4 linked regions of the Drosophila melanogaster genome follow. The gene in region 2 interacts genetically with the main gene of each other region. Each region holds a gene or a part of one and is shown on either strand. Other genes may lie near its edges.

What was found.
Region 1: of kcc (region 2) and jus, changing one enhances a phenotype caused by changing the other (phenotypic enhancement), as found in Drosophila melanogaster (2 studies listed by BioGRID).
Region 3: of kcc (region 2) and jbug, changing one enhances a phenotype caused by changing the other (phenotypic enhancement), as found in Drosophila melanogaster (one study listed by BioGRID).
Region 4: of kcc (region 2) and tau, changing one suppresses a phenotype caused by changing the other (phenotypic suppression), as found in Drosophila melanogaster (one study listed by BioGRID).

Annotation. Positions count from the first base shown.
Region 1 is NT_033777.3:29,190,565-29,198,357, reverse strand, and holds the start of jus (julius seizure), read left to right. Parts: upstream 1-3,364; 5' UTR 3,365-3,470; intron 3,471-7,793. Other genes in the region: CG14515 (uncharacterized protein), read right to left, coding at 291-724.
Region 2 is NT_033778.4:23,908,188-23,915,641, reverse strand, and holds the start of kcc (kazachoc), read right to left. Parts: upstream 5,033-7,454; 5' UTR 4,819-5,032; intron 4,252-4,818; 5' UTR 4,182-4,251; coding exon 4,091-4,181; intron 3,966-4,090; coding exon 3,774-3,965; intron 3,455-3,773; coding exon 3,321-3,454; intron 3,259-3,320; coding exon 3,176-3,258; intron 3,111-3,175; coding exon 3,008-3,110; intron 2,914-3,007; coding exon 2,808-2,913; intron 2,746-2,807; coding exon 2,616-2,745; intron 2,557-2,615; coding exon 2,438-2,556; intron 2,375-2,437; coding exon 2,156-2,374; intron 2,101-2,155; coding exon 1,944-2,100; intron 1,885-1,943; coding exon 1,625-1,884; intron 1,564-1,624; coding exon 1,311-1,563; intron 1-1,310.
Region 3 is NT_033778.4:22,732,052-22,739,517, forward strand, and holds the start of jbug (jitterbug), read right to left. Parts: upstream 4,995-7,466; 5' UTR 4,791-4,994; coding exon 4,554-4,790; intron 2,146-4,553; coding exon 1,495-2,145; intron 1,255-1,494; coding exon 949-1,254; intron 668-948; coding exon 1-667.
Region 4 is NT_033777.3:27,646,002-27,653,606, reverse strand, and holds the start of tau (tau), read left to right. Parts: upstream 1-2,852; 5' UTR 2,853-2,914; intron 2,915-3,704; 5' UTR 3,705-3,804; intron 3,805-3,899; 5' UTR 3,900-4,545; coding exon 4,546-5,857; intron 5,858-5,998; coding exon 5,999-6,042; intron 6,043-6,419; exon of another isoform or gene 6,420-6,508; intron 6,509-6,797; exon of another isoform or gene 6,798-6,971; coding exon of another isoform or gene 6,972-7,010; intron 7,011-7,081; coding exon 7,082-7,271; intron 7,272-7,363; coding exon 7,364-7,566; intron 7,567-7,605. Other genes in the region: RpS10a (ribosomal protein S10a), read right to left, coding at 280-771.

The sequences.
Region 1 (7,793 bases), on a different chromosome or scaffold from region 2:
ATGATGATTATTATGAGGGTGATGGGCCATAGAAGACACGAACTGCGTTGTACGAAGCCAGTTTTGACAAAGTGCTTCATTGAAACTGTCCGAAAAAATGGGTGCTAAGCGGTCATTTATTTTATTAAGTTGGTAGTGAAACTTCTGCATGCATTTAAGTTGTTTGCTGTGACTGTAAGAGCACTACTTAACACTGAAAGTTAGTTCGATTATAGATTCTAGATCTTTCTAATAATTCCATTGGCTTGAGCTATATAATTAACCCACTCCTCCTATAACTTCCAACTTACGTGAAGTAGACTTGTCCCCGCTTATTTTGCGGTGCCTTCCAGATGAGCTTGGCGCCCAGCTTGTCCCGGTTGTCCGAGTGCGTAATGGCCGAGCACTCTGGAATGGTCTTGGTGTTCTCGCTCTGCACCCACTCGCCGATCCACTCGTTCGAGTTGGCATCACGCGCCTGCAGGAAGAATCCCCGGAAGACGGTGCTCTGGTCCGAGTGCGGGTAGATGACCACCGATATCTGCTGGCCGGGATGGTAGGTCTGCGCATCGGCCACCACCTCGTACGGATTCGAGTGAGCCGGCTGACTCCGGGCCTTGCCATGATTCGGCTGATTCGCCCGCTGCTTCACGCACGTGTCCGCCGGAGCGCCGTCCGGAAAGGCGACTGCGGCGCCTATCAGCAGGAGCAGCTCCAGCGACAACCACTTGAATCGATCCTTCATGGCTCTGGAATTCGATTTTCCTGATCGTGGGAAAAAACGCGCGCGCTCTCGGCTAATCTGACGCTGAAACTCGGCTCGCCGCCGCCATCGCCGGCCGCTTATAAACCCAAGCGGCAATGCCACAAGCGACGCTGCCGCCGAAGACATGGGCGGGCGGTTCAAGTGGACAGATAGCCACAGTCGGGGGTGTTTGAATAGGAGCGTTTAGCTATCCAAGAAAGCCAGCTATTGGAGAAGTCAGTGCGCTAAATCATCTTTTTCTTGACTACGATAAAACTTTTTCTAAAAAGTTATTTGTACTGTTTAAAAAAATATTCAAAAATATGCAAAAATATAAACGAATATTCCACGCTTTTCTTCCAGAACTCTTTGCTGTTGATCAACTGTTATGATAAATAGTAATTAATAGCCTTTGATAACTTTATTTACTAAACAATTGCACTAAGACCCAACCGTAAATCATTACTATTATTTTATTTGGTTTTTAATTCTTAAAAGAACTAACACGGAATGATGTGTCAAGAATAAATCATTGACAGATGCCAGCTGCCATCCCAATAGATTTTCTTTGACTAATTTATGGCCGCAGCGGTGCTATTAAGCTGACCGCAAATGTAGTGGGGCGCTCAGCTGGCGGCGGCCAACCAGTTTTTAATGATCAAAAAGCAAATGGCCAAAACACACAGAGTTCCTTTCCTGCACAGTGATCCAAACTGGGTCACACATTAGTCCCTCCCCTGGTCGACGAATCGGATTTCTTTGCTCGGTTTGGTGGTCTGGGCCCGAAACTCTGGTGCTGCTCTAAGTGCTCCATTGCGAAATTCTATGCTTCTAATCGCTGAAAATGTTGGAAAATGTTGGAAAATGCTGTCCGCACTGCAACATGTTCCGCAGTTTGTTTACTTTGCGCCTGTTCGCTGCATTTTTCAGCGCGTTTTAATGTTTTAATTGACAGGCAGCCGCCGTTGGCGTTGATTTCGCTGAATTGAGTTGGCTCCGGTTGGGTTTTTCCTTTTTCTGATTTCTCAGTTGTGATTTTTTTCTGGCAGTTCGCTTTTCCCCCTTTGATACCGCTGCGTTTCGCATTTCACAGCTTCAGTCGGCGGTTTCCTTTCTGGGATCCGCCAACGCCATTCCTTCGTGGAATATGGTTTTCCACCACCTCATTTTCACTTTAGTTTTTGGCAAGGGGGATAATTGCAACAGCTGCTGTCAGTTGGAATACAAATGGAATAATTAAGTCAGTTCTTTAACTTTAAGCATTTGCTTAAATTTTCATTTATAAATTGTTCGGAATGTTTTAAAATAGTGTTTATACTCATTAAGAGAAATAATTATGCGAAATAATTATCAATTAAACTATAACAAATGGCACACAACACAGCTATGTGTTTTATAATTCCTATTTTCGCAGCATATTTTATAGCTAGAATGGTAACTAAATAAAAAATATAAATAAAGTGCCCAATTATTTCTGCTCACTTTAATTATCTTTTTTTTTTTTTTTTGTTATTCACAAGCACTGCAAACAGCATACCGAATGGCACACAAATTCTAATTTAATAAATGCGCAAATGACCAACAACACTTCGGGCCAAAACACACTTTTAAGTGCTAGTGTGTGTATCTACACGCACTCACACTTTGGGCCAAGTCAATACCAAACTTGTTTCATTAATTAAAATGTTCGGTTAATTATTCAAATTGCACGTGCCAGCGTCAGCAACTTTTGCGCACAAAACTAAATTGTTTGCTTTTGGCAATGTGTTTGTGCTGAAACGTGATAAATAATACTCTAGATTGCTGAACTTTACAATTGGACATTGGCGCTTATTTGCATTTCAAGTTGGCCGCACTGCAAAGGTCAGTTAACCCGGTGGCTTTGCTTTAACCGAAGGATCAGCGGGCCGAAAGGACATATCATCCATTATGGATGCGGCGAATGCGAATTTTCAACTCCCTGCACTGGGCAGCAGCATACCGAAATTTTCGGCCATTGAAAATGACATTTGCGCCACATCACACCAGGTCTTGTTACGCTACACAGAGAAAAATATACTAAAAATATTATAGAATTTCATTTTATTATGAATTAATCTATTCATATTTGTTTGATATTTTTGATTTTTTTTATATATAAAATACACTATTTACAAAACTTTAACGCATCAAGTCATGCCATTATCATAGAGTTTAAAAATATAAGTAAGCTAAATATTTTATCAATTAATATCTATATATAATATATATATAATATGCAAGCTGGTAATGTGTTTCTTTCAGTGCATCCATCCTCCGGCCAATGCATGCGAAATTTACTTCAACCTAAAGTACGAAAAAAGTGGGCAAACGAAGGAAAACTGCCAGCCGCCTTAAACCGATGTGCCATGTAAATAGTGGAGCTTGTGGGCTCAGAGGGGGGGATGGAGCGGTGGCCCGAGGAGGGGTCGAAAAATCCACTTCATCGGCGACGGTTGGCGCGGAAAAGTGTGTCACCTGCAGGCGGGAAATGCGCAGGTCCTGTGAGAGGAAAAGCGGCTGCCGCCTGATGGTGACTTTTCCTCGCAGACTTTTCACCAACGCCACATTCGCATTTTCCACCAAGGCTGTGGGAAATTCGGCTCAGAACGTGGTCAGACGTCGAAGCGCGTGGTCGTCGAGTTTTCCGAGAAAATCCAGTGGGAAAGCAAACAGTGCGAGGCAGCAGCAGCAGCAGCAACAACAACTATCTAGAGCAAAGGAAATTGTGAGCAATTTGTATTTTAGTAGTATATTTCTTACGCGCGTGAGTGTGTGTGTGTGTGTGAGTCAGTGAATGAGTGTGTAAGTGTGTGAATGTGGTGATGAACCGAACAGCGTGCAACAAGAATAAAAAACGAATGCCCAAAAGTGCCAAACACAAACAACAACAAAAAAAACGAGATGAAAACAGAATATACATAAATGGCAAGCAAATATTTTTCTTCTTGAGCAGGGCAAAGAAAATCACAAACTGCAGCGTATCCATGCCCTCAAACCAAAAAAAAAAGAAAAACAAAAAAATAAAACGAAGAAAACAGTGAAAAGCAATCAAAGTAATAAACGAAAAGGGGGGAATGGCGAACCGAACTGAAAGCAAATCAAAAAAATCAATGCCCTTTCTGCGGAATTATACGTTGCGTATACGTGATATGTACCGAGGTAGCCAAGTCAAATAATAATAAAGGAAATTCTCACGTGACGCATAAAAAAGCCAAGCTCGCACACACACACAGCGATGGCAACAGTAACACGGCATGCCCCTCAAACATACGCACACAGCGGTAAACTTACTACCTGGGACACAAATTGAAGTTGGCGAAACATATTTGCGCAGCAAAGTTGCTACACGCAGCGAAAACTCGCTGCAGTAGTTTCAAATTGTGGGGGGAAACTGTGATAAACACAATTCATAACCAGAAAAGAGTTGAACTAATCAGAAATCTATAAAAGATCTTAAAGTTATGGCTATTTAAAAGCAATGTGGTGCCTAAAGTTGTGGTAGTGCCTAAAAGTAGGCAATGGAATTTGTCATTCGTGAAATGTGACTTGCTGCGTATGTATATAAGTATGATTTGTGTGAAATATCATCATAGCACTGATGAAATTCAAACATTTTCTCATCTTTTCTTGCAAAAGTGTCCCACTTTTCTCCGCCTGCATTTGGAAGGCACATGATTATGATGAGCTTGCCTCGCAAACTTGTTTCTTTTTTGAGGCTCGTGGCTCGAAAATGACAACAGCTGGATGGCCGAGTGGGTGGGTGGCGGAAGATTGCCTTTTGCCGCATTTGTTGCCGCTATTTTGCATACATTGAATTTAATGAACTGCCTGTGTGCGGTGTGTTGGATTTGCTTTTAATAATTTAGGCTGCGCGCGAACTAAATGGCGCTTTTAAAGTACGAACCGTCAGGCGACCCCAATATGGGCGACAAACGGGCGAGATGAGGCACAAATGAAAATATGAAAAAGGGCAGGGAAAACACGAACCATTTAATGCCCCTTCGCACCCTCGTTGCGCCTGTATGGATACGCTGTGAGCTGGTGTGTGTGTGCAACCCCAAGTCGGAAGGGCAGACATACTAACACACTTCAGCCGGAGGACTACGTCATCCTGGCCCAGAAGCTTTGGGGCCAGCAGCCCCCCCCGACAAAGCCAAGCCAAACCACTGCGAACCGAACCCAACCAAACCAAAGCGAACTTCGCTGGGAGCACAACTTTCCCTCGACGTCGCCACATTTTCGCATTCACAATCACATCGCGTGGCATATCCATAGGCGTAAGGATACGGCATAGGCACATGGTCTGGCCTCCACTCACACCATCACACTCGCCTTGCCACACATATACACACAGAGTTTGGCGAATGTGCACATGCACAGTATAGGTGAAGTTATAAGGACTCGAGTTGCGCTGCTCCTCCTTCGGATCGATTCCGGCTAACACAGACTTTGCGGCAGTTGCCGTTGCAAACACTTGAAGAAAAAGGGTGTAACTGTGATCACGAACAAGTCAGCTGCATTTAAAGAATCTTTCAGACTTGGAAGAAGTTAAAACCCTTGATTAGATTGAGATACATTTGCAAAGCTCAGAAGAAAGTAGTGGATAGTTATCTTCTATCTATTTAAAAACCTTTACTTGGTTACATTTTCCGATATTCTGTTTCTATATCATTCGCTTTAGGATCACCTTTCTTTCAGTGAACTAACTCCAATTGCAGTGGCAGTTACTTCGCTACTAGCTGCACGACAATCTGCATGCGGCATGACATCGCGCAGCCGAAGGATCTCGAGGATATATGTGGCTGGCAGGGGGGCGTTGCCGATGGAGACGTCATCAATTTCCATCCAGCCTATAAATACAACTAAAGTATATATGCCACAATGTGATGCCTTTGCGCCGGCGGCAAGTGTTGCAGTAAATTTCGAGGAGATCCGACTGCCGGCATGACCCTTGACCTTCGACTTGCACCATGTGGCATGCCCGTTTATGCTTCGATTTGCCGCCCTATACGCCATATCCACCCCACAGCCCCACGCCACCGCTCAGGCAAATGCAAAATCATTTGCCATCGAAATCGCATGTCGACCGGCAGAAATAAAACTGAAAAAAAAAGAAGTAGAAAGAGCAGACATGCCGTATAGCAAACCGAAAACCCAACCAGAAATCCTTGTCGCACAGTTTGCGTTTATAATTTATATACGACGTTCCCCGTACGAGGAGGCTTCTCTTGTTTTAGTTGCGCATTCGTCCTTGTCCCGGCCAAGTATCCGTATCCAAGGCGGACTCTCAATCGAAATCCGCATGGAGGAGGCCTTTAAGTGCGCCCGCTGGCATTTGGTGCTCCTCCCGTTTAGGCCGACAAGCTGCCCGCTTTATGGCTATTAAAAAATGCATTTAAATACACACCACGGCCTGCCATTTACCATATAAGCCATATACCATATAATCTTCGATGCGGCCTGCGTCTGTCTCCGGTTTTCGCTTCTCGGGCCTCTTCAGCTCCTCCTCAGCTCGAGTATGAGCTCCTTTGGGGCGTTGTTGAAAATTGAAATTGCGCGCTTATTTATGGAGCTCTGGCGGGGACGCTGGCGTTGATTGCCGTAACGCCCCATTGCCTGGTACATGACTATAATAATGATTGCCATTTTTATAGGCCAGCCAGCGCCGGCGCTGCGAAGATAAATTGTTTGGCTGCTTGGAAAATCGTTTCGCTTCGACATTTGAATCCTTTTGCTCGAAACTATCTGCTTGATTTTCCCCTGGCAAATGGCTGCTGCGGTGGGTCAGCGCATGAATGCCAATGAAGTACAGCGCTAGCCACGGCGTATACTTAATTTTCGGGCAAATACTTCTAGATCTTTCGAGGGCTGACAGCGCTTCCCATAGGCGCGGTTAGCTTAAGTGCACTAATTAATTTTGCTGAGGTGAGGCTGTCCTTTAAGTAGCTTAAGGATAACTAAATGCCGCATCTCTGGGGCTTTCGCTGTGTGTGTGGGTGTGTGTGTGTGTTCACCTCCAGGATAAATAATAAAATTGCCAGCGGTCGACTGGCCCCGTTTCGCTGATGACACAGAACCGAGGAGTCGAGTGGCCCGGAGTCGAAAAGTCGACCTCTGACACCCTCATTATCCTACATGTGTACAGCCACATAGTCCTTTATATGTGCGGCAGCACGTGTGGAATATTAAGCAAACTGTGCAAACAGTCGTTGTCACATTAACCATGTCATGGCAAGTGCATATGCCACTCTATCACCCCCGACACTTGGCTCAGCGATTGTGGAGCCGTGCACTGGGAGAAATTATAATGGCATACTTCATATAAATAGCGATATTGCTATAATATCTGCATTCAAACAAATAACTAACTAACTGTCTCCTTCAAAGTTAGATGTAACATTACTCGCCAGAGCTATGATATTAGGTTGTTCATAGCAATTATTTCTCTGAGTGTATGCCACCTTTTAGACCATGTTCTATTTATAGTACACAAGCGGCACATATTTTATTTTTCGTGCGTGATCAATGGAGTGCGCGTTGCAGGCATTATAATGACCAATGACCATCCAACGGCACTCGATTAGCGCCACTTCACGCCGCTCTAAATGGATTCCAGAGCTTGTGGATTCCAGTGACTAAGCCTGGAAAAATCGCATTTTCCTTCCGCATTGGTGGCTATATGTGCCACTCGCCCAAAGCCCCACTTTTCGCACGTGGCCTGCACACGACGCAAATGTTAAATATTGCAGCACTTTCAGGCGATTCATTTTGGAGGCGCCATCCCAACCCAATGCATCTCCCGTTCCGTCGCATCTCATCCCAGCACTGCCACATCCACATCCGCAGTTGCATCCGGCGAGCGACTGCAAAAAGCGAAAGATTTGCATGCCGAGAGCAGAAATCGATGGGTATTATTGGGTATATCCAGATAATCGCCTTTGATAACTTCGCAGAGGTATATCATCAATTCACATGATGAAAGTATTAAGAGATGCACCAAAAATTTGCATAGAAAGAAGTATCTTTTTGGTACAGCACATTCCTTGAA
Region 2 (7,454 bases):
TATTTGAAAATAAAAAATATAACATCAACAGCTCATCACCACCAGACAGTTGGAGTAGTAGAAAGAAGTCATAGAACCTTAAACGAGTATATACGATCCTACATATCGACGGACAAAACCGATTGGGACGTATGGCTTCAATATTTCGTATACTGCTTCAACACGACCCAATCTATGGTACATAATTATTGTCCATATGAATTAGTTTTCGGTAGAACAAGTAATTTACCAAAACATTTTAATAAACTACATAGCATAGAACCAATATATAACATAGATGATTACGCTAAGGAGAGTAAATATAGGTTAGAGGTAGCATATGCTCGAGCAAGAAAACTTCTCGAAGCACACAAAGAAAAAAATAAAGAAAATTATGACTTAAAAATAAAAGACATAGAATTAGAAGTAGGAGATAAAGTTTTACTAAGAAATGAGGTAGGTCATAAATTAGACTTTAAATATACGGGGCCCTATAAGATAGAAAGCATAGGAGATAATAACAATATTACGCTACTTACTAATAAAAACAAAAAACAAATAGTTCATAAAGATAGATTAAAGAAATTTCATTCATGATTGAATTTAAACTTATATTTTCCTTAATCATTTACACAAATTTTCCATACACTACGTATATTTTTATCTTTGCATTATAAAATCAACTATTGTTGTTCAAACAAAAACACAAACAAAATAAAAATAAAAATAAAATAATTTGCATTTAATAATCAAAATAACTTCACTAGGTTACGTTATTTTTCAAAAGGAGGGAGATGTAGTATGTGCCTATGCAATATTAAGAACAATTAAATAAAATAGCATATTAACTTATGGCAGCACTTTGTTGCTATGTTTATGTTTATGTTTATGCACGCAGTTAGGCCAGGGCGGATGTAACATGATCACCCACTCGAAGGCCACAAAGTATAAGTGCATTGCCCAATCGAAGGCAAAAAGTATAAGTGCATGGTCAGCATTCACACGCCGACCAAATACATATTACATACGTACATACATATCTCGCTCTCCCGATAAGCCTAGATATATAAGATATACATAAGAACGCCGCTCCGCTGCTGGCGTACCCGGCAGCGCAGCTACGCGGATTAGCCTAAGTCCAAATATATAAAAAACTGTAAAATCGGAGAGACTCTGTAGACGTTGAGCTGACAGAACCATTTCTGCCTACTCTAAAATCAAAAGAAGAAATTGAATAAATATATGTCAGCCCGACGGCTGCCTTAAACTTAAAACGGACTTGTGTTCTTAATTGGAGTTCATCATTACAATATGATCTGTGATTAACTCACCCGCGGTACTCTATGTATTTGTAGATAATGATGGCCATTCCCATAGCAATCAGTGCGAAATACCAGGAAGTCATGATCATGACTGATATGCACAGCGTCAGGCCGATGAGCGACAAGCTCCAGTGGTAGAACTTGAAGCGCGGTCTCCAGTTGGGAGTCCTCAGCAGGGTTTGCACAGCGCAGGCCAGGTTGACAAAGCCGTAGCACATGAGGAAGAACATGGACAGCAGAGGAGCCAGCAAGTCCACGTTGCCTGTATTTGGTATAGATATTATATTCACAGCACATACAATATGATACGATCCGATGCTTACCCAACAGGATGCCGCACTGGCAAATGACAATGGTCAGGAGCAGCGCACGGGTGGGTTCGCCACGCTTCGAAGACTTGGCAAATGGAGCCAGGAAGGGGATGATCTCATCCCTCGCAATCGCCTGCAGCAGTCGGGGTGCTCCAGTCAAACTCTGCAGACCAGCGCCCAAGGTGGAGAGGAAGGAGCCAATCAGAATGACCCACTGATTTGGCCAGGCAATATTGGCCACCACCAGCTTGCCACCAATAGACTGACCGAATCTGGAATAGTTGGATGATGATAAGCCATGGCAGAGTCAGAGAATCACTATGCTACTCACTTGTCCCTCAACAGGAGATTGTCCACTGTGCCGGCGAAGAACATAACGCTGGACAAGTAGACTGTGCTGGTGGTCAGAATGGCACATATCGTTCCGATGGGTATGCTCTTCTGGGCGTCAGCCAGGTCGCCCGATCGATTGGATCCAGCCATGATGCCTAATGTAGATTGGCTTGAATATCTGAATAGTTCTGTCTGCGAGATGCTACTAACCTGTGACCGATGGGAAGAAGATGCCGATAAGAAGGGTGAACGACGTGGTAATGTCGGCCATGATCTGGTTGTATGACTCTCCACTAGTGTTCTCAATGTCAATTGCACTCTTGCCGTAGGATATGAACTGGCCCTTCTCCAGGAACGAAGGGAAGATGTTGTCGTAGAACACGCCACTGGCCAAACCCTTGATGCCCTTGACTTTGGTCACGTTATTGGCTATGGAGGATAAGGCATTGTAGTTTCGGTATGGAACACTCTGCATGTATGAAGGGATCTTACCCAGGTAGTATTCCTCGCATTTACCATCTGGGCAGTATATGTCGCGTAAGAAGGAGTCTTCCTTTGTGCAATTCTCCAGCGGGATATCCTTCAAGAGTCGTTTTCCCAGAACACACATGCTGCAATCGGGCGGAGATTAGATGGCCGCTCAGGGGGCACGTACTTGGCGCATACTTACTATAGCTTTTCGTTGCCATGGATATTGTCAAATATTCCCACATACACCGCTATTATCGAAAGGATGACGCAGGCCAGGGCCACCGTCGCGAACTTATTGACGAATTTCACGCCCAGGAACACAATGAGACCTTGATTTAGTGGCGGGACATTAATGTTTGCTCCTCACTAGTGGGCCACAGGCTTAACTCACCCATAAAGATGAGCAGCAAAGTGCCGTAGACCCTGAAATTGTTGTACATCGCGTCAGCGTCCTTGGTGAAGTCCCCAAATATCGATGCCCACGGCGCCATGTATGTCTGCAATGAATAATTAATGAGTGCTTAAGTAATGGCACTTTCGAGTGGAACTGCGCCTGGGATTGGTGCCTGGGAGTGGGCGCTCTTAACTCACCAATACGATTTCCACGGCACCAACGATGTACATCGCCGCTGCTAGCGTGGTGCCCGTATAGAACAACATTCCCACCGCTCCGCCGAATTCAGGGCCCAGGGATCTGTTGATGTTAATCGTGGCACCATTAGAGTTACTACTACCTCCTACCAATGCCATTGTAATTACCGTGATATCATGAAGTAACTCCCGCCCGCCGGAACCACCCCGTTCGTTGCAATGGCCGACATCGAGATCGCGGTTAGCATGGTCTGCAAAGAGGAGTTTGGAGTGAGGCCAAATGGGGGAGGGCTCAGCAGCAGGACGCTCTTACCACACAGCAGCAGGTCAGAACAATCAGGAATCCACACACGGCGCCAGCCGTTCCAACAACCCATGTTAACCGAATGAACAATATGACACCAAAGATGTTTTGAATGCATGGCAAGAACACTCCAATTAGGGTACCTTATGAGACATTGAAACGAGCGTTAGAGATTGATGCTTGGGGTCATCAGTTTAATGAAACCATTTAGGCAGGTGCCCGAAAGTATGCACTCAATCGCGGGAGCGATTCCCTTCGATTGTGCCACACTACTGCACACTGTTGCATACTTTCGAACAGCTCTATAATATTCGCCCGCACAGTGAAGGCTGAAACACTTTGAGGGGATTACAGCAATCATTCCTCCACAGCTTTGTTGTTTGCTGCGATTCCATTGTGCACATGCCTTTCAATATGGGGGTAGATGGAACAAGCAAGTTAATTAATGCGCGGCGAACATACCCATTCGAGCCGATGGAGCTGCCGGCTTTGCATCGGGATCGGTGGCCGCTGGTATCGTGTTCTCATAATTGGCAATTGATGAAATGAACGTTGATATATGGGGCCTGGTCTCCAAATCATCGTCGTACAGATATAGATTTGGGTCGATGCTGGACTTCTGGTTCTCCTCCGCCCTGTGGATATCACCTGAGTCTGTGGATGCACAGGATTGAATAGAGTTCGGATATCTTACGTTATGTAATTAAGCTACTAAGCACTAGTAGTGAACACTATATATGTACATATATACTATATAATTGATATTATCCCCTGCATACCTTCATTTTTGGTTTCGTGAACTGTACCATTGTGTTCGGATGGTATTATTTCCATTTCATCCGAATCATCTTTTGCACTGTTACTTTGCATGTTAACGTTGGTTGTTTGGTTTCAAACCCTTGCTTTAGATTGCACTATGTTCACTTAAAATTAGGTAACACTAGAGGAGAACGTGGTCAAGAACTAAGAACTAAGTGGGCATGGTCCTTCTTCAGACGGAGCTCCACGCATTGGGATTATATAACCCAAAAGGCGTGGCCGCTGCGGTGTATATATTCACATGTCTGCGGACGTGTGCCTATATACTCGAGATTTGGGTTTGGTTTCGGAAGGGAGCTCCTAATCGGGAAATGCCCCAAGAACTCGGAGGTGGAGGTATGATGGGAGGTGGATCAAAAATTGCGTCCGGCAGGCAGGGCGGGCGGGGATGCTGCTGCGAAAGTTGAGCCAGCTCGGACAGAAAAAAAAAAAATATGTAACCGATTAATTTAGGTCAAGGATTTTCAGGCCGTCGTCGTGGGGCGGTAAATAAATGCCGTAAAGTCGTCCTTTTCGCCGTAAAGCGGCTCTCGAGCTGGCTAAATGCACCGAAAGTGCGGAATGCAGCTGAAAATGGTTACGAAATGAGGCCTTTCTATGGGAATGCGGGGTAATCCTCCTCGACACCGAGTGCCCGGATCTGGGGTCTCCGGGAGGGAATTTGGACACACTTTCTGGTTGAACGCACTTGTATTCATGTATTTGATTATTGTTAGAATTTCGTCGATTGTTTAAAGTATGTTATTTGTTAAAGGTGCTCAAAAAGAACTGGTTTCTCATGTTTTCCCGTTTTTCGTATTTTTTTTTAGGTTTTTTGTATTATGCGAAAGAAGACTCCTTCTAAAGTTATTTTAGGCGAGCGAAAACGCTCAGATGTATGCTACTTTTCGTTCGGATTAATAGAAAAACTAAGAAAACTGTTGGTATTCGGCCGAATAAAAATTATGTTGCCCAGGACCCTGAGCGTTCAATTGAGATGAAATCGAAAGCTTTTGTCTACACACATTTTTAATACACACACACTCTCGCAGGAGAGCGAAATCGAGAGCGATGCTGAGCTGAGCTAAGCTGAGCTGTGCTGGGAGAATGGAGAGCGCCTCGTTGCAGGTGTACATTTCCATTCGGTGGCCCACAGCTCAGTGGGGCCACTGAGCCCACTGCCTTGGCCAGGACCTGCCCGCCAGCCAGCCAGCCACTCTCACCCAGCATCCGACGTTCGCTGGAAGGGATTGCGAGAAAGCTGCGCCGCCCTCAATCTCTCACTCTCTCTCTCTCTCTCTTTCTCTCTCTCTATCTGGGAGCTTTCGTCAGGTACTACGAGCTTTGGCTTACAGCAGCCGCGAAATGTGTCACCAGGACATCCTGGATTCGGACTGGGGCAACTGGGGCAGCACAGGATAGGATTGCAGGGCCGTAAGCTCTATCTGGGCATACAGTAGTCACTCGATGGGAGGGGAAATGCGTGTGCCTGGGGGTGAGCAGGCGAAATGTGCTGATGGGACGAAACTCAGCAAGGACCAGATGAAATTGCACACAATCTCTTCAGTGTTAATGGTTCTTGTGTATGTATACATCTTATCTAAGTATGTATAAGTATATATTAAGAAACGAGCTCTTATAGTTAATAGTAAAACTAAAGTAATAATAGTGGCACAAATAAAAATGAAAACATCCTTACCATCGTACGACCCATAGTTCTCACCTAGGGTTTCGTCGTGGATGTCCCCCAGTAGCTTGCCGCTCGCAGACTCATCCTGGTTGTAGTCCAACGCGGTGTCCTCGTCAGCCTTTGTAACTTGAAATCTATCTGGCATATTTGTGGATGTAAGGCACTCTGAAATGGGAATGACATTAGTATCGTCGTTGCTAACATGGAGACCCTGCCGAGGGCACGGCTAGGAATTAGCGATCAAAAGCATTCCCGACGATCGCTAGTCCAGTGCGGCTGGTTCCGAATTCACATAAGCTCCCAAGATAAGGATAACATTTCTGTTCCGAATTGCAAAGCCCACCAAATAACTAAGACGGTTAGTCCGCCCCCATCATTACTGCCGCACCTCAACTGGTGTGATAACCCGTGATCGAAGGTATCTAGTGAGTCGCACTATTTGCATGAGATTAGTAGTCCGCTATCACATGACCATCGAACTTGGTGGGTGTCTGGCCGAAATGGGCCACTGCACCTGCGATGTATGCTCCACTTTCGGGCAGAGATAAAGGCTGTTTCCGATCTGTGGCGCTAATCGCTCCGCACTCGCCGCGAGCTGTGAGCGGCGAGCTTAAGATAACGACCATTTAGTGCCATTTAGTATGCCTCAGCGGTGTTATGTCACCGGCTTGGTTACATAAGGCACGACTTGGGACACACAAGATGCGCTGCGATGTGCCAGACGTCGAGTGGGAACGGTTTTGGCGGTTTCCTGACCCTGCCACCGTGATTCCAGCCCCCACCCGCAGCGACGAATTGATAGGCGAGCATGTGTGTGGCGCTCTCAGCGAGATCGGGCTCATCCCGAACCCAGACGAGGCAGCTGGCCCAGGTGGAGGCCATTACACGCGCGCTGATAAGTGCACAAATCTGTTCCCATCGATTGGGCCGTCGCAGCCGCGTACACACAACAGGGGGCAGATAGATTAGTGCAGATACGGGGCTATGTACGTGGAACACAAAGAGGTGCATGCAGATACGTACATCCAAACACGCACATACGCACGCATGTACATATGTACATACGCAGAGGTGGTGGTGGTGGCGGAACAGGATGGACTGGACGGTGTTATCTAACCCGAGGATGTGCCCGCCCAGGCCAGCCACTGGACATCCGGACACTCGTGCGGGAATGCTTTTGGGGGACAGCGGATTCACTCGATTCGATTTACTTGGGCAAGCGCCTGGAATTCGCCTTCACCGACGATCCGATCCGATCCAATGTGATGCGATCCGATGCACTTGTGCTGGGCAGAGCCAACGGAAACGTCCTTTGTAGAATTGTGTTTACTTTTGGGGGCTTCGACTCCTGCTGCCCGATGTGGGTGAACTTTTCAATTGTACGAATAAAATAAAACTATCATATTAAAGGCGCATGAGTAATACAAAATGATTTTCCACCGTATATACTTTGGAATCGCGAGTGGGGGAAAGCGTAGTATTAATGAAAAGTCCAATTGAAATCAAATGTAACGCATAGGGGACGCCGAGTGGCGATTGTATTTTGGAAAACACGTCCCCCAAGATATGTTTATTGCAATTAGCACCCATGATACCATCTTATGGATGATTCCGCCTTGGCGTCCGTGAACGCATAAAATTACTGATTCCGCGCT
Region 3 (7,466 bases), 1.2 Mb from region 2:
GCATAAAAGTCACCCGGTACTTGTTCTCCACGATCTTCTCCACCGAGCAGACCAACGAATGCTTGTCGTGCACAATGTCCACGTGCAGCTCGCCCGAAACACCCACTCCACGGGCATCCACTTCAAAGGTGTGAGCCCGCAGCGGCATAGCTCCATCTAACCCATGGACCGAAACTCCGGATGCATCAAACACGGCACAGGTGAAGGGGCCTCCCTGGATGTGGCGACCCTGGTAGGTGATGGCTATCTCCCAGATACCTGCCTCGTCCGGCTTGAATATGGCACTGTGTCCCTCGTCGATCTTCTTCAGCGGGCAGTTGTGCGAGATGCCCGTGGGCGAGACCGCCGTGACCAGGATGTCCTCCGTCTTGGGCGCACCGGTGGCATTGACCAGCACCTCGACGAGACTGCCCAAGGCACAGGGCGCCATTCCCGGCGGAGCCACCTGCAGCAAGCGCGGCAGGGCTCGGAAGAAGTGTCCGCCCAGACTGTCCTCGCCGATCTCCACCACAATCTCATGCATCCCATAGCGCTCCGGCACAAAGACTCCTTCGCCGTGGGCATTGAGCCGCACGGGCTGTCCCGGCTGTCCGGACGGAGGAACCACGTGGCAGCGTACTGAGCTGAGGCTTATGTCCCGGGACATTACGTCGATGCGGAAGTGGGTCTGCGTGTGAATCGGACATTAAAAATTTACGCTCTGCACCTGGCAGACTGCAGTGTTCATATACACACCCACAGTGATGGGTAAAATAATTGAGCTGACTAGTAAAAATATTTGTTTAATTTAAAAATTGGGAGCTATCTTTCCAGTTATATTGTAAGTAAACACCACTGATCGGATTTGTGTTAAGTAATAATATATATTTTTTTCTAGTCATGAGTGCCCTATTATTTTGCCACCATCTGTACATTCATATATATATTGTATATATATGCTTCACTCACCGGTTCGCCCACCCGACCGGATGTGCTCTCCAGGTAGACGCTGACCAGGTCGGACAGCGGAGGCCTCGGCGGCACCCACTGCAGGTGGGCCGCGTAGGCCATGATGCCCAGGTGCTCCACTTCCGGGTTGGCCATGTCCTTGGCCGTCAGGATGGGCTGCACGCCCAGCCGGGCGCCCGCGTCCACCGCCTTCCGAATGTTGTTCTCGTAGTGGAAGGGATCGGTGCTGAGCTTTTCCGGTGCGGGCGCCGAGCCACCCAGTCCCTTAATAATTTCGCACATAACGCGTCCATCGTTCCAGTCGGTCTGCGAAATGAAAGTGCCATTATGGGATACGATTATTATTGGTTGGAAAAATACGAGAATTAATAAGTATTTATGTTCTTTTTAATGCAATTGTTGCAGATGTACATTAACATTTGTTCAACGGATTAAAAGGTCATATTTAAATGCGGTGAAAAAGCGTGTTTTATTGTAGAGCCATAAGGATTTATTAAAAAAGAAGGCTGCTTTATAACTGATATGTGATTATGGATATTAACATACCGTAAAGTTCTTCACAGGGTCCTTGACCTGCGTATTCACCCATCGCATGGTGGCATTGTAACCAGGACCACCGGGCTTCATGAAGTACGAGAGGTACGTCATGCCGGACAGCTCATCCAACCAGGGCGAGGCGAGGTACTCCGGTTCCAGAACCTTGGGCACTCCAAACTCGCGCTGAGCCAAGTCCATGGCCTGGGTGCAGTTGCGCACACTCTGGCTGGGATCGAGACTTCGCCAGTGCGGGAACAAGCCCGGCTGGCAGTAGTCCAGGAGCGCCGCCAAATTGACGCCACTATTCCAATCGGTGGTCAGATTGGTGATCCTGCAGTCCGGCAGAGCGGCCTGCAGCCAGGCCAGCATCAGTTTGCGCGGCGGGAACTTGCTCCTTCCGATCTGGTAGCGCACGATAAGGGACCAGATCAAGCCCAGGATCAGCTTTATGTTCCCATTCACAATGTCCACGTTGCCGATGTTCACCAGCTTGATGTGATCCGCCTCGATGGACTTCAGCGCCGTGGTGGCGTTCTCCAAATAATGATGCTGGTTGGCGGGTCGGCGATTCCACGAGGGTTTCAGTGGACGCGTCTGCAGATTCTCCACAAGGGCGCACAGACAAGTGCCATCGCAGAAATCGGTGGCCCAGTCATGAACCTGAGAGACAATGGGAATTTGCATTAACTTCTCCGTATCATTAGAAATAGTAATGGGAAAGTTTGTGGCAAATAATTAGATTACTGCTGGAATACATTCCGTTTAGCAACGCAAGTAATGTGGCAAGTAAGAGATGGGAGTGCATTCCATAATAGGTTTATTATTATAATTGCATTTAATATGATATTAGCTTTTTACGGTCTAATGGATTTGCAAAATGTACTTTTATTAAGTGGGTAGTTTTTACTTTTCCATTCTATATAGATTTAATTTTAAAAAGCATGCTAACCCAAAACAAAAAAATGTTCGAAAGAAGAGATTTTTTATCTTTATTTAATGACTCTAGCAGCATTTTCTTTATAGCTATGCATTAGTTGAGATTACTAGACTTGCTGTAGTACATATGTACATAGTTCCCAATGGAGATTAGCAAATGTGCGAAACGCCTACCATGTCTGCGCAAATGCAAGAAGGTCGCTTGACTGGCAGCCTTCCTAATGAGCAATCAACGCCCCTTCCGCAAACTGGTGGCCCACTTTGCAAGGTAAACCGCTTGCTCGGAACTTGGAGCATGGAGCTCAGATCTCGGAACATGGCACATGGAGCTCAAGAATGGGCTTGGGAACCCAACAGGTTCGCTGCTCCGAACTGAGCGGCTTTCTCCGCCCGGGTGCAACCAATTGTGCGCGATTTTAAGCATTTGACATAAAGCTTTTTATCTGGCTGCTGTCGGCATTCGATTCGACTGGGGGGAACTCCACTCCACTCCACTCAACTCAACTCAACAAATAAAATACGACAAAAAACTGGAGAACTGGGTACGGAGACAATCGCGTGTCTGTTGCTGTTTGTTTGTGCCTAGGAAAATATTCATTGGATGCCATAAAAATCTCACATCGCACATATGTAGTTGCTCCATGGCTCTCTAACAAGCTGCCGCAGGTTGTTATTTGTCGCTGCTGTTATTCCGCCCTTAAATTTTTAAGATTCCTCTGATTTTACGATATGAACTCGAGTTTCGTTGGGAGTTGCGTTTTCACCTAACAAAATATATATGTACTTTTATTTGCATATAAATTTTTGCTATATGTCAGAAAATGTCTAGTCATTCTATTACGACAGTTCCATGGTGGCAATCATTTTGAGATAATTTAATTCTACCTGCCGCAACTGTTGTTGCACTGCATTAAAACGTTAAGGTCATACAATGCAGTCACTTTGAATATTTCTCTCCGTGTATCTGCTCCCATCAAAGCATTTCCCTTTTGTTTGCACATGCATTTGTCATACAAAGTGGATTGCAATATTATTTGTCGCATACGCATGAACTAGAATTGTAAACAGCGTAAAAAACGCAAACTTGGATGACTCGTTTTGGTTTGGTGACCCAAATAGACGCCAGCCAGGTCACAATTAGCGCTGTTTACTAAGGGGTCTTCAGCCTTGCTCATCACATATGTACACATACACGTATGTATGTACGTTTTTGGCCCAACCGAAAAAGTAAAAAAAAAAAAATAAAACCCCGAATTTTATACTCGAAACCGGGCAAGATCGCGCACAAAAGCTTTAGCTTGTTTTGTGTATTGTAACTGCTAATGGGAACTCGATGCGTTGGCCTTGGCATTCAACCGGCCAAATATGGTCGGTTCAGGTCGTTTCAGTGCGGTGCGTGTGAGAAAATCCGTCGAAGCGAGTGACAGTTCAAAAGTCCCTGGACAAATGAAATGCATTGTTGGCAGTACACATAAGTCCGTGTGAGTACTCTTGGCATCATTGTTAATGTAATTGTCGTTGCTGCCATTGGAGTTCAAGATCTGCGTGGGCGATTGAGCCGAGTTTTATGAGCCCGGCCTTTTAGGGAAACTCGCGGAAGAGCTCGAAGCCCCAGTTTATGATGGCGATTTATACTTTTACGTGTTCTGTCACCAGTCAATGCGCTCGTTATGCGATTATATTTAGCTTAAATGGGATCAGTATATGAACTTCAAAAACCTTGCTTTTAAAGTGCTTCTTAATTGCGATTTATAATAATCGAAAATTTTATTTGTATAGAGTTCAATTAAAAAGTGTTCATTATTTCACATATTCATATTTTGTTTTCTATCCCTAATTACACTTCATTAAGCAGTGCCACTTTTTCTATGTGCAACTGCCTTCGCAAATCATTTCCTGGCTAAAATTCCAGATCTAAACGTTTTGTATTTCACTCATCGATTCTCAGGCCCTGCTTCATCAATAGTTCTACGAATTCCACATTCAACGGAGCTAGCCCATTGATTGGGTAATTGTTTTTTGCGCTTGATCGATCAGATATTCAGTCGGCGGCAGGCATTACTCAGTCGGTTAGAAAGTGTTGCATAATCGGAATGTAAATATATCTACAATATATCTATGGCTTAACTCACCTGCATTCCCGTTTCACGCAAATGCTCGTTGACCCAGTTGCGGAATGTGTTCGCCTGGATCTCTACCCAGAGGTCCTCGTTGCCCCGTATGTTCATACCCTTGGCGGCGGTGCCCTCGGGACTCCGGGCCACCAGACCGGCATGGGTGATCTTCTGCGTTTCGGTGGTTCCATCGGAGTTGTGCTTGAGCAGCCCCGCATGCGTCACCTTGGCGCCTTTTATGTCCTTGACGTCCATCTTCACTGCACGTCACTGCACTTCACCTGCGACTCGCACATATGTATGTACAGATGTAACTCGCGTTCGAAACACTGATCGGGAGAAATGGATAGATCGCGATGAGATACTTCTGATCGCTGTAAGTTGTAGCTATGCTATTCAGTTTCGGTTTCAGTATCAGTTTTAGTTTCGTTTGCACGCGCTCGCGGCCCGAAGCGAACTGGAACTGCGCTTAGCTGGTCGATCTGGGCGGCTCTGCTCTCTTGGCCTGGCCAAAACAAACGATGACGTCATGGCCAAAGCTCAAAGCTCCAGAGAGCAGCAGGAGAATTTATAAAAAAAAATGCGGGGGGTTTCGCCAGCGAATGTGTGTGTGCGAATATCTCTGAATCTGGCTATAAAGCAAAACTGGTTTCGTCGCTTCCAAGCCAAAACGAAGCGAGCGAAAAGGAAAATTGAATACAAAAATAACAAAAAGGCGAAAATAATACAAAAAAAAAGAGTCTGTAAAATAACAGAAATCACTTAGTTTGGAATTTCGCCGCGGCAACAGCAGGCAAAAAGCGAGCAGATCTGGTGGGCAGTACTGTGGATGCCAGTGGTTGTCGTGAATGTGGCTGTTTGGGCAAGTCTTTCACAAACGTTAGAAGGCCAACATGTGTGTAAACGTGGGAGCCACCCCAGAAGATAATGGACGTAATCACAGCAATGAAATCTGCCACGATCAATTGTCAATTGTTCGCCCGTTTTCACTTGTCGCACTTTTACCCAAACAATTTGTGCAAACCGAAAGTTGGCCGTCTGAATGGCCTTTTTGGCATTTTTCCACACGGCGTTGCGAAGACAACGAGGCGTCAAATGACCGTCTAACCAACTTAATTATAGGAAATCCGGTTGCGTTTCTAAACAAGTCAATTGCCACAGATCGCATATATCATAGCACGTCCAGTTCTGAGCGAGGCTGGTATGCAGATTTTGAATACGAATACGAATACTATTTATTGACAAACACTTTTCGGAGAGGTAAACAACTCTGGGATGACATCACTCATCACTTGCTCGGCACAGCGATGAGTTGTGGCTTGAGCACTTTTTTAACGCCCCGACAGGAGAATACAGTGCGAGAAAATCATGCTGACTAATATTACAAAAGACAGTTGACGTAGCTAATCTAGTAACTCTTCAATGGAATTCCTCTTAAAACATCAATTAACTACTTAAATACACCGCTTTGCCGCAAACTAATTTGTACCTTAATTTATTTTAAGCAGAGATGTCATTGTTGTGTTTTTGTCTCAGTGACAAAACTGCGTGGCTTGGATGAAATAAATTAACCAGCGGGGACAGCAAAAAGTGGAAATTAATGAATTGCTCCTCGGACTTATGAGTGATCCCGTGGCTGATGTCATTTACTGACACTTGACATTGGCAATGAACCTAATTAGTTGCACTCGCCAGCGGAGTGGAATGAGCCCCACTACTCGGCGAGTTCTATAGATTCAGCTGGCGGCAAGGTCATGGGAATGGTCATGATAATGGTATTGGTGGTGCTATTGGCCAAGGGGAATGGGAATGGTAATGGTAATGGGAATGACCAATCCGCTTCTTAGTTTACTCAGTTGGTCAGCAGGTAAATATCGAAAGTGTTGTCGTGACTTTAAATGGCAGAAGAGGGCCAGCTAGCACACCTAGTTTAGGGCATTACGTAATGGCCGAAATTTTCGACTTTGAATGGGCAAAAGTGTACGTATCGTAGGCTACAAATCGGTGTATCTATATCACAGAATGCGATGTGCACGTAGGTGTCTGGCATTTTTTACACTTTTCGATTTGTTTGCTGTCCGAATATACATTCGTATATACTTATTTCGCTTTTTGCCTTGCAAACCCACACGGCCAGCCAAATCTCGTAGTCGTCGTCATCGGGACAGCCACCCACATGGTTGGTTGGTTCAACGCCTCGTTCTAGACGTGGGTGCGATTTCAAGTTTGATTTGTGCCAAAACCGTGTACCAAATGGCCATTGATTTCTCAATGATTCTGTAGTGGCTGCCTAGCTACAACTCTGTTTGGATCCGAGCTGTGGGAATATATTTGGTTAGATGTTCTATGACAACGTCATTAACTTTGAAATATATGAGATTAACTGGAGTGGAGGTGAAGCCCATAATTATGTTGATGGATGGTTACGGAATTTACTACGAAAGGCTGTTCTAGAGATGAACCTCGAAAAATAAATGATGATTGAGTTATTTCATCAATTAGGTTTCTTAAACCCTTTTTTTTTTCAATATTCGATTTCTATTATAATAGTAACAGGCAGACTTAACTTTACTACTCAGTTGGACACAAGCCAATTGTTGCTTGGATTCCCTGCCAAAAGAATATAATACGATTTAAAAGTTTAATACTACATTGGCATCCTTTCCAAGATTATTATAAGTAGATTCAGTGCTATTTCCTTTTTAGACTAGGGGTGGGCTGTTTGTTTTGTCTGTTGGTATTACATATTCGACTTCCTGTTGGCCAAATGCGATTGTAACACTTGCCACGCCTTACAGTTAAATGATGGCCTATTAGCGCACGCTTCTATAGCGAGTAAGCGCTTATTTTTGGCATCATTTTTATGGCGGTTCGTCATAAATAGAAAACACTCCAAACGATGTGCTCACACATACGCACAGACATACATAT
Region 4 (7,605 bases), on a different chromosome or scaffold from region 2:
AAATACGGCCATGTGCGACACGAAATACGCGCCACCTGAGGTCCTAGTCAATATAGCCATAAATTTTGGATCTTGATTAATTGATAAGGTGTCGATGTCAACTTGGGAATATAGGAATATGTTACTTATTATACTAGCAAACTATAAAACTCTTTTACCTGCGAAATGCATTTCAAAACTAATTGACACAAGGAATAAACACTTTTAGAACGCATATGTATGAATGTAAAAAAAGGTGCTTATATCGTTTTTATGCAACAACTATATTTTTCCATTATTTTAATTGTCGTAGCGAGAAGCACGACCGAAACCGCCACGATATTCGACCCGTCCGGTTCCGGCACCCACATCGCCTTTCTTGTCCATTCCATATGCGCCTGGACCGCGTCTGTAGTTCGATCTGTCGTCATCGGTTTTGGAGGCGCCTCCGAATCCTCCTCCGGGTCCTCCTGGTCCTCCGCGCGGACGCACTGCGTTCGATCGAGTAGTTTGCGTCAAAGTGGAGGGCACAATCTCCGGGGGCAAGTGCAGATAGCGGCGCAGTTCCTCGATGCCCTCGTTGGTCAGCAACCAGTAGAAGTGGCGCCAGGCAAACTGCTCCTTGACCCAGCCACGTGAGTTCAGCGACTGCATCACCTTGATGACTTGCAGATTGGGAATCTTATCCAGTTCGGAGTGCTTCTGGATGGGCGAGTCCTTCTTGGCCACGAGCACACCCTCCTTGAAGAGGTACTCGTAGATGGCGACACGATTGGCTTTTGGAATGAACATCTTGAAATAGTCTGATTTAATTCGAAAAATTCGCAGAAAATGAAGATGGAGCTTAGTGTGGCCAGCTTAAATTAGTATTTACCGAAACTTCTTTCATTCATTCCTCACGTTTTTGAGCACTACCTATTGGTATTGGCAAGCACCAATAAGTTTTTCATAATTTGAAAACAAGTTTGTAGTTCAATATATAAACTTGAGGATCGTGATACCATTATTTCCTTTCACTTTAAGAACATTTGGCTCAGCCCCCTTATGATTTTGAAAATAAATTATATGCGAAGCTTTCTTCATTTTCTGTCAGTGTGTTTCCTCCTGCATTTTGCTGGATTAGCTGCGTTTTAAGCTTTCGCACTCCTGAGGAGGAGCTGTGATTCATCTTTTGCGTCGCAGGACATTCTGACCAAACATGCGCAATGCGAGCGGCGGCAACCACATGAGGAATTCCTCCCCCACAGGAATGCTGAACAGAATAATCAATGAGCGAAACGCAGACACAAATTGACCAAGGGAAGCCAACCAAAAGGAAGGCATGCCGATAGATACAACGTAAACCCACCACCCACCGACCGGCTGCATCCCCCCAAAAAAAAAGCTAAACAAATGCCGGAAGGAAAGGAAAACGAAAGCGATTAGGGGGTGGCAAAACCACCCCCCTTGGAAAAGTGTCAACAAAAAGCAGTCGACCTTGCTTAGCGTGCGCTTCCGATTAAATGCACTTGATTTACATAACATTTGAGTAATTTTCTACTAATTAAAATGGTTACCAAATCGATTATTCCATTTTAGTAAGTTCAAATAAAGTGGTAAACTCTAATGCATAAGCTGTGTTGGGAGAGTATAAAATCTGCCCTTAGCCTTGCATACTTATTGTTAATATTTATATTAGTTAATTTCGAATTCACATGGCTGTTACGTGCAAGCAGTGCTGGTTTGGATATTAGCTCTTCGCTGGGTTGTTGCATTAGATTAGCTTGGACGGCAACCTAACGGCAAATTGGATATAATATCAGGCGAATTCGTTTGTTTTAGTAGAAAAATATAAAACCCGCTAAAATAAATATATATAATAAAAAGTAAAATTTTAATAGAATTTTAAAAATAGATAAATTAAAAAATAAACGCTTTATATTAAACAAAATTTTCTCTTTTACTTCCAGGTTTGTATTCAGATTTATGGAACTTAATGAGAACTTAAAATGGCTTCAATTATGGTTATGTTAAATACAAAGAATCGTCAGGAAATCAAACTAATTCAGTCCTAGAGTAAGAACCATAACCTTGGCAATCGAAATTAGGCTACAGAACTATGCAGACATTAGCCCAGGACTACGCTCCTTCCACGTCTGAGTCTGAATCCTTGGCTAACCTCACGTCAGTTTGGATCTCCCCAGGTTTACTTTTATGTCTACGCATTAGAGCGCCGGAGTTTTGCGTGCTGCCTGCTTGTAAATAAATAGACAACAATTAGGGGAACCTATGACAACAACACCTGGATAATGGAAAGGTGCGTGGCAAGCGGTGCAAGTTGGCTCTATGTGGATACAAAAATATATATGCCACCCTCCCGATTGTCGAGGGCAAAGGATTGGGTCTGGGAATGGGAATGCACAAATGCGCGTCGAAATGCCTCCCCCGGTGGCCATTAAATTAATCAAGTCAAATGAAATCTGCATATAAAATCAGCGTTATAGGCTCCCCATTCGCTCATTGTTGGCGTGTTGAATTTGCATTTTTCCCCGGCGCCCCACTAATAAATTTGTATGTCAATAGAATATAGCCAGAATACAAGGGGCTGCTCCACCAAAAATATATCCTGGCAGCGCTTTGAACTGCGCAAGGACACATTCTGTTTATGCGCCCCGAGAAGTTTACGAGCGACCACGCTCCGCCAGACCAAGTTGGCGTATCAAAACAAATTCTAAGTATTGTAATTCGAAATTTTTCAAAGCAAATAAAAGCAGTCGAGTTTTAACACTCGCGCCAAACACAACGCAGTGCAGGGAGCTGGCGTCGTAGCTCCACCAGAATATTTCAATTAAATAGAAAACAAAAATATATAAAAAAAAAATATAAGAAAATATAAAACATATTATATTATTACGCGATTTTGTCACAGTAGAAGTGTGTGGTTACTTACGCCTAGGTAAATTGCACCTTCATTCCCGTGTTCAAGCCAAAGTGCAAAGTGCATTAGCCTTCTCAGGCTGTACGTGGCCAAGTTATTGCCCCCTGGCCAGGAAAATCGATACAATTGCATTGCATGGCGCTTGTTTTGTTTTATGGCCAACTGCAACTGCAACTACAATTGATAGTCTTTGGACTGTGTGATAAAAATCGCTACTGCAGTGGCGCCAGAATTCAATTGCCAAAGGACCAAGTTTTGTTAACCATATTTCACCGAGGGTGAATCTAATTGAAATGCAAGCCACGGGCTTAGGAAACTTTTGTGCTTGCACCTGTGCAACTGTTGACTTACCAACCCCATTCCACTTGGCTGATAATCAATTTGGCCAAGACCATTTGGCCACAAATGACAGTTGAGTTGAACGTTGTTGTGCGGTTGACATGAACATTGTGTGGAATTTCGGTTTATGTCAGCCGCGAATAAATCACAAATCATTGTAGCCCTAATTTGCAGTTGCTGTTTCTGCCAGGCCTTCTTTATTTTGTACTATTATATATATATATATTTTTTTTTTTGCTACTGCCAGGAAGTTGGCGATTCCGACTCTGAGTCGGCACAAGTTGCAGTTGCCTCTTTAGTTGGCAGTCGGATGTGGCACGTGCTGAGGTCATAGCTCCTCCAGTTTAAAGAATCCCTCGTCGTCCTGTGCAATTTTATCGATTCGCCCGTCAAATGTAACACACACCAAAAAAAAAAAAAAAGCACTGGAACTTAATGCAAAAGTTTTCGGTTTTTTCTCCGCATTAAGTTAATTGCCAGGCAGTGCCGAGAACCAGTCTATATAGACATAGTCCCCGATCCGAATTCGAACAGTAGTAACCCACTCAGATATGAGTGATACCGATGCGGTGAGTTTTGCTTGAATTCATATATATTTTGGAGCTGCACTTAGCGCACACCGATTCGCCCATGCACAAATGATTTACGAGCATAATTTGCATAGGGAATGATCCAGGTTAATGGATGTATTATTCCGCCGACCTTGCACATACATCATTGTCAGTGGAAGGAACCCTTTTGCGAAACAAATCAAACAGCGATTTCTTGTGGCCCGTCGATTTGGGCCTTAGAACTGCCAAAACTTTTGTTGAATCAATAAGCCACAAAAACAATTTGGGTCACGTTACAGCTGGCAACCGGATTTCATGACAAAATTCCCTAATGGTAACCAAAGACCGAACGCCCGAACGCCAAATACCCAAATATCCTTATAGCCATATAGCCAAGTAGCCAAGTAGTGAATACCAAAACAATAAAATGTAAACAAATGCAGAAAGAGCCATCAAATTTGAAAGCACCCACTCAATGTGAACTATATTGATACGTACGTCTGTTCCGATACACGAGCTTTAGCTCCACCATTGGCACTTTGGCAACCCCACAGTTGGCAGAAGTAAAAGTAAGCCCACAACGATATATGGCCATACATATGCAAATGATATGGGCCAGTTTGCCGGGGCAGCGGAGCATGTGGGTGTATATCGATGGCATTGGCCACCAAAAAGTGGCTCCGCCACATATTGGGTTACCAGACACTTGCACATTTCTGCACCGACACCGCAGGCGAGAAGTTCTAGTCCTTCGCTAGGATGTACGGCACGGGAAAGGATCGCTCCGGCCAGGAGATTATTTCTCCACAGGATTACCCAGTGCAGCAGCAGCGCGCTCAGTCCAAGTCAGAGTATGTCATGAATTCCGCATCTGTAGATCGTCCTCAGCAGCAGTCGAGACCACAACCCACGCAGGATTATGTGCCTTTTGAGTCCTCCGATTCATCTGTGGAACGAAAGAAAGAACAGCCAAGTGCTCAGTTAAGCACAGATTATACCAATAGCAACACCACTTCGGATAGTGCCTCCTACGGCTCAGATTCAGTTTCCAAACAGCAGATACGATCTCAGCAGAATCCAGAGTATCAGAACAATGCCTATGAGGCACCTAGAGATGACCGCAGTCAACTGCAGCCACAGAGATCCCAGCCAGCTACCGATTACTCTGCATATGAACGTCAGCAACGTCCGCCACCAACCACACTAGACTACACCACCGGCTATAATGCACCACCTAAAGATCGCACCACCCTGTCACGCACCAACTCGCGGCCCACCCTCTCCTCACCCAATCCCAAGCTCCAAAGTATACCCAATACCGAGTATGTGCGACCACCACAGAACTTTGTCTTGCCACCGCAGATGCGTCCCGCCGTGGGGCCACCACAGCCGCGTCCTCCGTTCGCCGGAGCCCGACCTATGGTCGGAATGGGACCACGACCACCCATGCCGCCGAACATGGCGGCCAGGCCACCACCGCTGCGCAGCACAGACAGCAAGAGCAACCTGCTAATGGGTCCACCGATGCGACCGGGCATGCCACCGCAACTCAATATGCAGCAGGCTCGTCTGCCCAATGCCGGCGGACAGCTTAGCCCGCCGGGCCAGGGACCACCAAGGCCACCAGGCGGATTTCCTTGGAATCCAGCCGGGGCACCGGGAATGCCACCCGGAGCACGTCCGCCCCAGAATATGACGCGACCGCCGCCACCTACTTTTGCACGCCCGCCGCCGGGACAGCCGCTGCAGGCACCCTTCAATCGACCGCCTTTCAACCAGCCGCCCATGCAACCGCAACAGCAACAACCACCACAACAGCTGCAGCAGCAGCAGCAGCAGCAACAGCAGCAGCAACACATGCAACAGCAGCAGCAACTACGCCCACTTTCGGCAGCCAGTGCACACAACAACAACGATGACGACGACGACGTGGTCATGGGTCCCGCGGTGACCCCGCTCAAGACCTTCAATTCGAGGCCCGATCCAATGGGCGAGCCCCTACTGGAGGACATCGAGCCGCCCTTCCAGACGAGCCCCCCAGCCGGAGAATCCAAAAAGGGGCCCGGCTTCAGTAAGACTCAGATCGATAAGCGATAAACCAAAGACCATTAGTGAAGCCATTTAAGAGTTTATTTTTAAAATTTAACTATCTCAATATGATTCATGATATATCCATCCATGCCTCCCTCATGTATCTTTTGGTTTATTTCAGAGGGCGACAATGACAGCGGCGTGGATGAGTCCACTCAGGAGAAGGTGAGTTGTTATCGGTTTTGAACCAGTTAACTAGTTAGCCATAAATTGTTACCTCTGCTGCGTCTCCGTTAATTGAGAGGAAATTAACTGGAACTGGCAACAAATTAATTTAATTCCGCGTGCCTTTCCTCCGCCATGAGTTCTCAAATCATAAATATCTGTAAAAGGCCGGGGCAACCAGCGGGCGATCTTCGAGCTACAAGCTCCACGCTCCATTAGAGACCATATAGCAGTATATCACATATGTAGCATATAGCATATAGCATATAGCATATAGCATATTGCCTGCGACAGTTCCGTCGCTCAGTTCCCAAGTTCGTGTGCAGACGTTAAAGTTCAGACTAAGTTTTGTGTTGGCAGACGGCAGTTGGCGCGTCGGAAAAACCCGCAGAAAGTGCGACAAAAGTCGAAGAAATCAAAAGTATATGTACTACATGTATATATGTGCAATAAGTGAGCTTCACAGGTGCGAGTGAAAAAGTGGCAGAAAGTAGAAAAAAAAGGGCAAATATGGCCAAAACCCGCCAAAGAAACATACACAAAAAGCGATTTATATGCCTGGTGATATCTGCGCACAGATAAGTGCCAAACACGAAAACGAGTTGTGGATTTCCAGGGGGGTTTGGGTTTTTGGGGTAAATCGTAGCTCAAACTTACACATACATACATATATCCAAGTCGGAATTGTTGTCTCTATAAATACCCATCCATATGCAAAGGCGACACGAAGCGGCGACAATCGATAAAACAATGCATAAACTATAAGTCCTTCGTACCGAGACATCCAAAGCCAAATCGGCAGGCGTACGGCCGCATGGCCATAAATGCCATTGGCATTACGTTGACAGCTCCGTAAAGTCCGGGAGTGTTGAGAGCCCAGTAGTCGTAAATAGATAATAAACTCGAAGTCAACACAGATACTTACCAGGATGCATCTCGTTATAATGGCCGATGCGACCTACTTGCTAGTAATCCACATGGTCTAACCATTCAGCATAGTTAGTTTGCTAAATCGTGCGCTATGTTTGTTTCTCGGCAGGATCGCAACGGACCCAACTCGCCCAGTTCGCCCGTAAAAACGCCCACATCGACCTCATCGAAGCCGGACAAGTCGGGCACGTCGCGTCCACCGAGTGCCACGCCCTCGAACAAGTCAGCCCCCAAATCGCGCAGCGCCTCCAAGAACCGCTTGCTCCTCAAGACCCCAGAGCCCGAGCCAGTGAAGAAAGGTGAGAGACCGTAGTTCCATCTATCCACGTGAAATACTTTACTATATCATATGATCTACATATATATATTATCATTCTGTTTGCTTCACCAGTTCCAATGAACAAGGTACAAGTCGGACATGCGCCTTCACCCAATCTGAAGGCGGTACGCTCCAAGATCGGATCCCTGGACAATGCCACCTATAAGCCGGGTGGCGGCCACGTGAAAATCGAGTCCAAGAAGATCGACATCAAGGCGGCACCGCGCATCGAGGCCAAGAACGACAAGTACATGCCAAAGGGCGGCGAGAAGAAGGTATGTTCGTATTGTTCATCCTCTAGACCAGCGTTTTAA